3 linked regions of the Canis lupus familiaris genome follow. The protein of the gene in region 2 binds, or shares a complex with, the protein of the main gene of each other region. Links are inferred from orthologs where the notes say so. Each region holds a gene or a part of one and is shown on either strand. Other genes may lie near its edges.

The links.
Region 1: the proteins of ARRB1 (region 2) and GRM3 are in contact, whole or in part, in a cryo-EM structure (PDB 9II2), measured with the Homo sapiens proteins. The link is inferred for Canis lupus familiaris from reciprocal best matches to the Homo sapiens genes ARRB1 and GRM3. Residues at the interface, in NP_004032.2 of Homo sapiens: Gly5, Thr6, Arg7, Val8, Phe9, Lys10, Lys11, Ala12, Ser13, Pro14, Tyr21, Arg25, Arg65, Glu66, Asp67, Leu71, Gly72, Leu73, Thr74, Phe75, Arg76, Lys77, Arg103, Leu104, Lys107, Pro133, Arg236, Phe244, Asn245, Thr246; in NP_000831.2 of Homo sapiens: Pro605, Lys608, Ala609, Ile669, Phe670, Asp671, Gly672, Val673, Lys674, Asn675, Ala677, Gln678, Arg679, Lys681, Phe682, Ser684, Cys761, Pro762, Glu763, Phe765, Val834, Val835, Thr836, His837, Gln855, Ser856, Ser857, Ala858, Ser859, Thr860.
Region 3: the proteins of ARRB1 (region 2) and NTSR1 are in contact, whole or in part, in a cryo-EM structure (PDB 6UP7), measured with the Homo sapiens proteins. The link is inferred for Canis lupus familiaris from reciprocal best matches to the Homo sapiens genes ARRB1 and NTSR1. Residues at the interface, in NP_004032.2 of Homo sapiens: Tyr63, Arg65, Asp67, Leu68, Val70, Leu71, Gly72, Leu73, Thr74, Phe75, Arg76, Lys77, Asn245, Thr246, Ala247, Gln248, Tyr249, Lys250, Lys284, Arg285, Gly286; in NP_002522.2 of Homo sapiens: Ser93, Leu94, Gln95, Ser96, Leu97, Gln98, Thr100, Val101, Arg166, Ile170, Pro173, Lys177, Phe286, Ser287, Met288, Ala289, Ile290, Ala297, Leu298, Gly301, Ser368, Asn370.

The regions. Positions count from the first base shown.
Region 1 is NC_049235.1:12,835,551-12,839,291, reverse strand, and holds the start of GRM3 (metabotropic glutamate receptor 3), read right to left. Parts: upstream 2,454-3,741; 5' UTR 1,471-2,453; intron 1-1,470. UniProt on the Homo sapiens protein: G-protein coupled receptor for glutamate. Ligand binding causes a conformation change that triggers signaling via guanine nucleotide-binding proteins (G proteins) and modulates the activity of down-stream effectors.
Region 2 is NC_049242.1:23,396,119-23,399,759, reverse strand, and holds part of ARRB1 (beta-arrestin-1), read right to left. Parts: intron 3,363-3,641; coding exon 3,166-3,362; intron 1,665-3,165; coding exon 1,605-1,664; intron 782-1,604; coding exon 714-781; intron 1-713. UniProt on the Homo sapiens protein: Functions in regulating agonist-mediated G-protein coupled receptor (GPCR) signaling by mediating both receptor desensitization and resensitization processes.
Region 3 is NC_049245.1:47,459,500-47,463,140, forward strand, and holds part of NTSR1 (neurotensin receptor type 1), read left to right. Parts: intron 1-455; coding exon 456-546; intron 547-1,891; coding exon 1,892-2,141; 3' UTR 2,142-3,641. UniProt on the Homo sapiens protein: G-protein coupled receptor for the tridecapeptide neurotensin (NTS). Signaling is effected via G proteins that activate a phosphatidylinositol-calcium second messenger system.

The sequences.
Region 1 (3,741 bases), on a different chromosome or scaffold from region 2:
TGAGCTGTTTTGAGCTCAAAAATGCATAACACTACAGAATCAACTAATAGAATGTCCTAAACCATCTTTGGGTAGGAACTGTATATAGTCCACGGGAGTTTAGTGTAGTAGGAGTTGAGGTGTTTTATGCCTATATTAAACATATTTACAAAAACAATTAGAGTTCCAGTAGCAGCCTTAAAATATGTGATCAGATAAACCGAGGCTGACTTAGATTTAGGTAAATGAATAATGTTTCTTTCCAGATCGATGCTTAATTTTTTCCCTAGAGAAACACAATATAGCTCTACTAAACAGTGCTAAGAGTAGGAAGCACAAATAAAATTAAGCAGAGAAAAATCAAAGGAATGCACTATGATTGGAATGCCGGGATCCTTAACTCACCACCCTCAACTCTCTTTTACCCCAACTCTGCATAGACCCATTAGGTCATTATCACTATTGTTTACCTTAAACACATCTTATTCGCGTAACAGTTGAAATATTTTATCAGCAAATTAGCCGACCACTTGACCACCGATCATTTAAAGTGTACAGTTTTATTATTTTCTAATCGGAATTTACAATGCTTCGAAACACTTAAAAGGCAGAGGCATGTCCCCTTAAGATACCTGTCTAAAAGTATTGTATCTTAGGGAGTCCTCCGCGTTTGTTTCAGCGCAGGGAAGGAACTAGAAGGAATCGTAAATGAAATCCTTAAGAAACAAGCTTATTGGATGTGTCACCTAGTCTATTTCTGGATCGCGAATCTCCCGCCCTCTCTGAGTTACCTCCCTTGTCAGATAGGAAAATGGAACAAGATCGATGAAGAGATAAGCTCCGGGTCTGGCTTTTCGATGTTTCGCTCCAGCCCCACAGAGCACAGGGCATGGAGTTAGGGCTGCTTTCCAAGCCTGCTGGTGGGAGAGCGAGCACCCCCCCCCCCCCCGCCCCCCGGCCGCTCCCGGCTGCAGAGCGCGTCCTGGCTGCGACGCCGGCCGGTCCCGCTGCCCGCTGCCCGCCGCCCGCTGCCCGCTGCCCGCCTCCTCGCGCAACCTCCACACCCACGGAGCCGCCCGGGCGGCAGCCGGTCACCGCAAGGTTTCCTGCGCACAAAGCCTAAGGGGCCCCCGAATGGCAGCGAATCCCGGGCCCGGAGCAAGGCTAGAGGTGGTTGGCTGGCGACACTGGTCTCTCGGGGTCTGGGAGCGCTAGTCAGCCCCTCCGCCTCTGCACCCCGCACCCGCACCCCGAAGGCAGGACTGCGCCCTGAAATCTGCCTCCCTCCCGGAGACACAGACGTGCGCGCACACACACCAACTCTCACTCACGCACACCCACCTCGCCCCTGTCCCCCTCCCGCCCCACCCCCGGCAGCGCTGTAGGGACCGGTCTGGGCTCTGCCTCAACTTTCCCAGGGCGCAGCCTGCCCCACGCGGCACCCGAGCCGGGCGCCCTCCAGAGGGACGCGTCCTCGTCGGGGCCCCTTACCTCGCACCGACAACTCCTGGCAGGGACTGGAGCTGGCCGCGGTGGCAGCGGCGGCGGCTGAGCCTGCACCCGGGCTCCGGCTCATGCTTGGTGCTTCCTCATGCGACACAAAAGAGGTAGCTTGCCGGCTTTGTCCTTTCAGATCCGAGGAAGAACTTATTTTGCCCCCGAAATGGCCAAGTTGTGCGCGCCGCTTCCCGTCACCGTGCCCCCTGCCCCCGCCCCCTCCCGGCCGCGCGCTGGACCACTGCCCGGCGGCAGAGCATCCAGGCCTCCGGGTCGGGGGAGTGGGCAAAGGGAGGCCCGGCGGGGGCTGGGAGAGCGGGAGACCCGGCGGGCTTCGGCGGAGGGTAGGAGAGCGTTTCCCAGCCGAGCGCCCCTCGGCTTGACCGGCAAACCCACTTCCCAGGCGCGGAAAGCAACTTTCCTTCACCTTGGCCAGGCTCAAACCGCAGCGTCTAATGGGGACCCTCGGCGGAGGCACGGACCTCCTGGCATTCTCTCCCTCGCACTCTCTTTCTCCTTTCCTGCCTCTCCCGTTCGCCTTTTCCCTCTCCTCCCCCTCCCCCTCCCGTAACAGGGGTGTATCTGCAGAGTCTTCAGTGAGCCCGGGCACCTAGACCAGAGGTTACTATACGCGCGCCGGGGCGGTTTTGCGAGCCGCCTCGCCTCGCTCTGCTGGAAATCCTTAGGCAGGACGGCGAAGGTGGGAGAATTTCCGAGGGGTGGGGCGGAGGGGCGCGGGGCGGCAGGAGGATCCGCGGCTCCAACTTTGAAGCTCTGCTCGAGCTCTCTCCTGCCTGCGGGAGGGCAGGGACTAATGGCCCTGAAAGAACTCTCCAGCGATCCCCGTGCCACGGGCTGGCCGCACGCCGGAGGAGAAAGGGAGAGCGGGAGCTGAGAGGCGGCGAGCGCGGCGGAGAGCCGGGTGTGCCGCTCTGCCCCCCGCACCGCCTGAGCGCACGCTGCGAGCCCCTGGAGAGGGCCGGGGCCGAACAGTCTCTGGGTCAGGCGGGAGGGAGACGCTCCTGTTTCCTAGCAACCCCCATCAATCTTCTTGGGAGAGCTCCCTCTGAAGGAATGCGATTGGACAGCCCCGGGAGGGAAGCCACGCCCCCTCAAGAATGCTGGGCTGCTGCTTTTTCGCATTCTCCTAAATTTCTTAGGTGGAATTAAGATCGGAGGGGAGTGCTCCAGCGCCTTCCTTCTCGTCCTCCTGTGCTTCCACACAGCCTCCTGGCGGCGACCCCTACCCCTCCGCTCCCACATTAGCCCTCCTCTACCCTCCTGGGGGTTGGCACACACAGGCACTGCTCTCCACAGAACCTCTTCTTTCTTCTTGAAATTAAATAAATAAATAAATACCTTAAACCGGTGACGTAGGCACAAAAGAGAAAAAGCCACACGGAAATAGCTATAATAAGCTCCGAGCGACAGATACGATCCTAAAGGTAAAATTCCAGGGATCTCGCTATGTTTAGAAACACATTGTGCTTAATTTCAGAATCGAAAATTCGCTGCCATTAATTTTCCCAACCCTGATACACTAACTTTGTATCCTTAAACAAGGACTGAGTTATATAGAGCCGGAGACAATTAAACTCAGTGCTTCAATGCTACATTTATTCGTTAATATTTAATGTTAAGTTGTTTAACAACTGCCTGCTTTTGTAACCTAGAAATAATTTTACTACTGATTCTTTCGGAGAGCTGACAATATTTAGAAGACACGTGTACTTACATACTCCATTGTGAACACCACTAAAACTAGAAACTGGAGTATATTAAAATGACAGTGTTATTAAATAGTGAAACTCTAAAAATGCTAGAAGTTCGTCTTCCAAAACCATTCTTTCTGGAATGCAACAGCAGTGCCAAAATAACAGCAAAATCATCCTTCTCTTTGTGTTTCATTGTTATTATCTAACATGTACCAAAAACGCGTTACACTTTTCTAAGAGAGAATTTTCACAATGTCTGTCCAATAGACCAGCGCACATTAAGGAGCAGTGACAGGACAAAGGAGAGCATAAGGATCTATTCACTGCAATGCTTCAGATATGCATGAAGCCATGTTGGCAGCTTTCAGTTCCTTCCAGAATGTTCCACAAGATACCTTTTCTTTTTTTTCTTTCGAAGACTATCAGAATCAGCTGAGATAGGGAGAAGTCGAAGAGATCTGATGTTTTCATTCATTAAAAATAAAAGTAGCTGTGTTTGCACAAAAGAAAGCACTGCATATGGCCTTAGCTGCATGTAGGCTACTTAACA
Region 2 (3,641 bases):
GGCTCGGTAGGAATGCGGGCGGCTGCCTGGGGAGGCAGGGTGCATCAGAGTGGGGGGCTGAGGCCAGCCTCGCCTCCTCGCCAGAAGACAGGGCAGGGCCTGCCTTGAGGAGGAACAGGCACGAGAGCAGGGCTGGGCAGTCTATCTCAGAAGTCAGGTCCAGCTGTTTCCAGCTGCCAGTCTGGACTGTCTGCCCAGGGCTGTGCCTCTCTAGAGAACACTACCTCTTCTGACACGTGGGCTGACCCATCCCACACCCCACTGCCGCCCCCACTACCACCTGCTGCTGATGGCTTCCCAGGAGAAGTAGGAAGTAGGGGTTCAGGGTGGCTGGAAAAAACTCTTGCTCACTCTTTAAAATGATCCAAATTTTGTGTTTCTTTCCAAAATAAAATAAAAACATGCAGTCTCATGGGGCAAGACTTGAAGCAGGGTGATGGAGGAGGCAGGTTCAGCATTGTAAAGGGAGAAATCCTGAGGCCTGAGGCCTGAGCCCTAAGCCCCAGACAGTTGAGCCACTTTCTCCAGGAACCCCTCCAGGACTTGCCAGCCTTCCAGAGGGCCCTTCTTGGAGTTTCTGGGGCTGGAATATGCGGCCCCTCCTCACACACTTCCAGGTATTGTTACTTATCTCTTCTCTGACTTTGCTGGTCTTGTCTCTCTCCCTCTGCCAGTAGGCAGCCCACACCCAGCGGAAGCTGTGCCCTTCTCACCGCTTGTGGATCTTTTCCTCCAGGTTCTCGGCACAGAAGGCTTTGACCTCGTAGTCCACACCACAGGCCTGAGGAGAAGGGGCTGCTGACCACAGGGTCCCGACAGCACAGCCATCCCACCCTCTTATTTTACAAACCAGGACCCTGGAGGGGAATAGCAAACTTCACAGGCCAACCGCCCCTCAGCCTGATTCAGGACCCTGTGATCGGCCTCAGCCCCAGTGCTGTGCTGCACCCCAACCCCACCTGGCCTTCCCACAGAGCTCCCCTAGCTCCCCCAACACTGGGTGTCCCAAACTGCCCTAACTGGGCTCCACCCTGCAGACACCTGCCTGGTCTGGGCAGCTGTCCTCATTAAGGCAGCCACTCGGCAATAACAATGGGGGTGCTCAGCAGTCCTAGGAGGGGAGCACAGACTATGTGCAGACCCAACAGTGCTCTGGTGGCTCACTCCACCCTCTAAACTGCAGGAGGAGGCATAGCCTCTCATCTCCATTTTGCAGGTGAAGACAAGGGGGCTCAGAGATCTGGGGCCTGTGACACTAGTAGTGTCACTTCTCTTGGAGCCTCCATTTCTCCACTTGTGAGACCACAGTGAATGGACCCCCATGCAAGGTTGTGAGGCCAAGAGGTAGTCCAGAGAACATTTTGGTTCTGCTGCAGCCAACAGTAAGCCCAGGAGAGACTGCATGTAATGGAATGCGGGGGTGAGGATGACACCCTATCTGCCTGCTGCCCTGTATGAAAAGAGCCGGCTTATCTGAGGCAGTGTTGAAGTGGCTTCCACACAGGGAGGCTTCCACACAGAGTTCCGATGCCTCTCAGAAAGCCAGGGCCCTGGGGATACAAATGTCCTTTACCCGGAGAGAGGCTTCCAGAGACGTGACCCACCTTCCCCGTGTCTTCAGGCCCTGGCTGCAATGTCACAGAGCACGGGAGGTTTGGAGGGATCTGTTAAGAGGACAGACAGGTCTCCTGTCACATTGACCATTGAGCTCCTCATGTTGCCCACCCACCACCCCCACACACATTTATCAGACCAGGGGGCCCTAGCAACAGGCCATGTCTCCCCCATCAGACCATGCCAAGGATGCCCCACACTGGGCCAGAAGCCCTCCAGTAAAGCCAAGGATTTCAGTGCTTTTCTTTATCTAAAGGATTTTGCCTAGGGGCATCTGGGTGGCTCAGTGGTTGACTGTCTGCCTTCGGCTAAGGTTGGGATTCTGGGGTCTGGGGATCGAGTCCCGCATTGGGCTCCCTGCATGGAGCCTGCTTCTCCCTCTGCTGTGTCTCTGCCTCTGTGTGTCTGTCATGAATAAATAAAATCTTAAAAAAAAAATTAAAATAAAGTGTTCTGCCTAGATTGTAGTAGGCAGAACAAGCCCCCCCACCCCCTCAAAGGTGCCCACCTTCTAATCCCCAGAACCTTCAACTGCTACCTTACTTGGCAAAGGGGATTTTACAGGTGTGATTAAGTTAAAACTCTTGAGATGGGGAGAGTAGCCCGAGTTATCCAGGTGTGCCCGATGTAATCACAATGGACCTTAGCAGGGAAAGCAGGAAACAGAAGAGTCGGTGTCAAAGTGGTGGGCTGCAAGAAAGACTGACCAGCCATTGCTGGCTTTGAAGACAGAGGGGTAGGCTTCAAGCTAGGGAACACAAGCAGTTTCTAGAAGCTGGAAAAGGCAAGGCCTAGAGCCTCCAGAAAGAATACAGCCCTGCTGACACTTTGATTTTAGCCCAGTGCAACCTGTTTTTTTGTTTGTTTGTTTGTTTGTTTGTTTGTTTGTTTTGACTTGTAACCTCCAAAACTGTAAGGTCAGAAACTTGTGTTTTAATGGTCACATTTAATTCCCACCAGGTTGGCAGCAGCTTGTTTGTTACAGCAGCCACAGGAAACCAATACATCTGCCATGGACAGGATGACTGTAATGTCTCTCCTCTGGTTTCCCAGAAAGCCAGGGGATTTCACTGAATCACAGAATCAGAGTCTGAGAAACAGGAAGTTTTAAAATCCAGAATCTGGGAGTCTTTCCATTTGGAAAAGTGGCAGAGCAGGGAAATCACTACATGCCATCCCTCATTAATGAGCTGCGCTGGAGCTCAGCTGGAGCTGGGCCGAAGCTGGGCATGCGGGCAGCTGGTCTGAGGGAGGAGACAGTCCTGTAGTAATTCAGAGGTGAGAAAGGGCTCCTTCTTTCTCTGCAGCCTCTGCCCACCCGGCTCTCTCCCGCCACGAGCTGGACTCGGGAGGGTCCAAGGAGTAGCTCAGAGGTAAGGTGACACCCCTGGCAGTGGCCAGAGAAGAGACACTTACCAGGAAGTATAAGTGACAGTGCCCCAGGTCCCAATGTACACTGAGAAATTGAGTGACATGGAGCTGCTGCCCCAGCTGTCCCCATGTGCTTGCCCACAGGGCTTCCTACTGGTGGTGCAGTTGGCAGTCCCTAACCTCAAAGGTGAAAGGATAGGCATGCTCGCCCAGCTTCTTGATGAGGCGCTCCTGCAGCCGTGTCAGGGGCTTCTTGTCCTCAGGGGCTGGCGGGAAGGACTGCACGTTGGCCACAAACAGATCCTTGCGAAACGTCAGGCCCAGGACATCCAGGTCCTCCCGGCCATAGCGGAAGGCGCAGGTCAGTGTCACGTAGACTGTGGGAGCAGGGGGCATGGAGGATGAGCCCAAGAGGGCAGCAAACAAGCCCCCAAGAGCACCAGCTGAGCCCTGGGATTGGCCCAACTGGAGCTCAAAGGTCTGTCCCAAAGCTCCTGTGTGGGAAGGCTGTGCAGCCCTCGGGATGGGGGTACTGGGTACCCAGGAGAACCACTCAGACCTGGCCCCTAGGGGGAGGTGAGGGCTGACTGCTGGATCAGTTCTGTCCTTTCCCATGCCCCACTCTGGCCAGTGTGGGGAGCACAGGAGATGGTCTG
Region 3 (3,641 bases), on a different chromosome or scaffold from region 2:
CTACATTCAGATCTTCGATCCGTTTTGAGCTAACCCTGTATGAGGTGTGAGGTAGGGGTCTGGCCTCCTCCTTCTGCACGTGGCTGTCCCATTTTCCCGGTACGATGGTCTCGGCAGCCTCGTAGGAAGTCACCCGCCCATATCTGTGAGGGTTCACCTCTGGGCTCTCTGTCTTTAGGCCAAGGTCACACTGTTTTGACGACTGCAGCTTTGTGGTAGGTTTTGAAATTAGGACACGAGAGCCTTCCAGCTCATCTTCCTCAAGGTTGTTTCAGGAGTCCCTCCAGACGCCCACGGATCTTAAGATGGGTTTTTCTATTTCGGGGTTTTGAGAGAGGTGGCACGGAGCCTGTAGACTGCGGTGGGTACACTGACAATTTAACACTGGTTAGTCTTCTGGGCTCAGACAGGATGCCCCCCTTCACCCTCCGAGACCCCGTCTCTCTGTGTCTCAGGGGCTGTGGTCATCGCCTTCGTGGTCTGCTGGCTGCCCTACCACGTGCGGCGCCTCATGTTCTGCTACATTTCCGATAAGCAGTGGACCCCGTGAGTACCGGGAGCCTGGGGCGCAGGGGTGAGGCTCGGGCTGGGAGAAGCTCCCCAGAACAGGTTGGCATGGGAGGTGGGGGCGCGGAACAGAGCAGCTCAAGGCAGGGCTGCAGGTCAGGTGTCCCCGCATGTTCTTGGTGTGACTGTGAGTGGGCTGGGGGCAGAAGGAAGGCCACGGAGGGATGGATGCCACAGGGGGATGGACACCACGTCCGTGGCTGAGGCTGCTCAGCCACGGGGCAGGTCACAGCAGAAGAGGAGAGCAGAGCTGAGAGTGGGTATGAGACGAGTTTAGAGCCGTCTGGAGAGAGACAGAAAGGGCTGGCCCTGTGGGACCTGGGGGCGCAACCACTGTCTGGGTGTCCTAGACTACCCCCAGGCTGGGGGAGCCGCGAGCACTCGGGGGGCCCCGGGGCAGCCACACCCACACGGGGCCCTACCGCAGCCCAGGGACACACAGCAGAATCAGTGACGGGAAACAAGCCCGCAGAGGCGTCCTGGGGAGCAGGCCCGGCTTCCAGAACCCCCTCCGCAGGCCAAATGCCCCGAACGAACCGAGGCCACGTGTGAAACGCTGTCGGCTGGGCAGCCGGCCAGAAGCCCAGGGCTCTTGCTGGGGCCGCTCACGTAGATGCCGCGGCTGCCGCGCGCCCCAGCCCCAGACTCCCAGGAGGAAGCATCTGCTCTGCGTAGGATGCTCTAGGCCCCGAGAGCCCCTCCTCGCAGGGGGTGGCGACCCCGGACATCCAAGCTCCCAGACCCCGGTGCAAGAGGCCAGCCTTGCCAGGACGCCCTTCTGACACGACAGCCCCAGGCCCCGCCGTGCGTGAGCTTAGCAGGGCAGCCTGGTCCGAGGGTCACAGCTTCTTCAAAGTGACGGGGAACCATGGGGAGGGCAGATCCAGGACAGACGAGGAGAAGTTGCAGGTAGCAGAGCACGGTGCTGAGTAAAGGGTTTCTGAAACCCAGGGCTGCCTGGTGAGGGAGTGAGATCCCTGTCGGTGGAGGCAAGCAAGCCGAGGCCCAGGAGCACAGCCCTCCAGGGAGCAGGGAAGGGGTCCGGCCGCACCCCTTAGCCCCAGCGAGCTGGCCTCCTGCACGCAGACGGGCGGGCCCGGTGTGCCGCAGGGAGGGGTGGAGGCAGGCGGGGAGGACGGCCACAAGCCAGCCCCCCGACCGGCGCCAGCGGGAGCGTGGTCGGAACTCCCAGCACCTCAAGAGATGCCGCAGCCCCGGAATTTGTTCTGAAATAGCCCCACGTCAGAGAATTTAATGTCCTTGTCCCGAGCACCGAGGGTCGTGGCACCACCAGGCCGGGTCTGACAGCTGCCCTCGCCCCCAGGTTCCTGTACGACTTTTACCACTACTTCTACATGCTGACCAACGCGCTCTTCTACGTCAGCTCGGCCATCAACCCCATCCTGTACAACCTGGTCTCTGCCAACTTCCGCCAGGCCTTCCTGTCCACCCTGGCCTGCCTGTGTCCTCTGTGGGGGCGCAGGGGGAGGAGGCCGGCCTTCGCCAGGAAGACCAACAGCGTGTCCAGCAACCACACCTTCTCCAGCAACGTCACCCGGGAGACACTGTATTAGGGCCGGGGGGAGGAGGGGAGGCCCAACGGCAGCGTCGCCCCCTTCCCCCCTCCCCCTCTCCCTGCAGCCCCCCACCCCCGGGGCAGGAGCAGGGCTCAGCAGAGGCCGGGGACTCAGCGCCCACCCCCAGAGGCCTCATTTCTCGCAGCTTCTCCCTCTGCCCCTCTTTGAAAGCCGGAGAGAGATTGCTTCACCCCAGATCCAGAAAGGGCCTTTAATGAGAAGAAATTAGTGGTGGGGGAAGGCAGGTTTCTTTGTTCCCACACTACGGGGTGATCCGGGAGGACAGAAATGAAAGGCACAGGCCGGGCCGGGCTGGCGTGGGGAGGCAGCCGCCCCGAGAGGCAGGGCTGTGGGCGGAGGGCGGCCGCTGCCCTGGCGCCCCCGGCGAGGAGAGGACCGCTGGCCTCCTCTGGTACGGCCTCGGCGCCCAGACCCCTCCTCTCCACGGGCGGTGCCCAGGGGCCCCCGGGGGTCGGGGGGGCAGGCGTCGGCTGGACCCGGCTCCCCGTCCTCCTCGCCCATTTGTGGGGACTCAGCCACAGGTGAGGAGGAGGAGCCGTGGACACAGGCGCCCGTGGCTGCCAGGCTGAGGCCCCGGGTCGCCCGTCACGGCCGCGCACAGCGGCCCCAGCCCCGGGCACCCGGAAGGGCAGGCGCCTCCGTGGTCTGTAGGAGCCGGTCTCCAGACAGGATGGCCTGGCCCTGGCCGTGCCCTGGCAGGTCCCCTGAGCCGGGGGAGGCCGAGGCCGTGTGAGCTGCCTCACGGGAGGCTCGAGGGGCAGAAGGGCCTGGAAAATGAAATATGGGCTTTTGTTACAGCAGGTTGTCACTGGGCTCCTGAAGGGAGCAGACGGGCAGCGGGTGGGCAGCCCTGACCCCGCCGAGGAGGCCTGCTCCCAGCCCGGGCACCAGGACCCGCCCCTCCCGTAAGAACGGCCGTTGGCTGGCACGGTACCTGCGGCGGCGTTGGACCTGGGCCCTCTGCTCCGAGCTGTGCGCTCCGAGAACCCCCGGCTCCTTCTGCAAGAGCGGCGCCGGGTGGGCAGCCGCCAGCAGCCCCCCAGGACCCCGGGACCCAGGCCAACCCAGACCCCACACACGCCGTCGGCTCCGGGCAGGCGAGCAGGACAGGTGGGCAGGCGGCCAGTGGGCGCCTGCAAGCAGAGGCTGGTGCCCAGGCCGCGGGTGTCGAGCACGGGCCTGGACTCGTCCCGAGAGGCCCTGAGAGCCACCCCCGCGCTCGGCACCTCGGCCACGCCGTCCTCCGAGGCTGACGAGTGGGCGTGGGCGCCGTCTGGGCCCGGCCGATGTGCCCTCCCGGAGGACCCAGCCCAGGACGGGCGGAAGACGGGGTTCCCTGGGGTGGGGGCAGAGTGGACGCACGATGGGGACACCCAGCAGCCCGGACCCTCGCAGGCGCAGCAGGGACAGGGTCTGTGCGGCGGCCCCAAGTGCCCGTGACCGTTGCGGTCTTCACGTTCCCGTCTGCGCACTTCC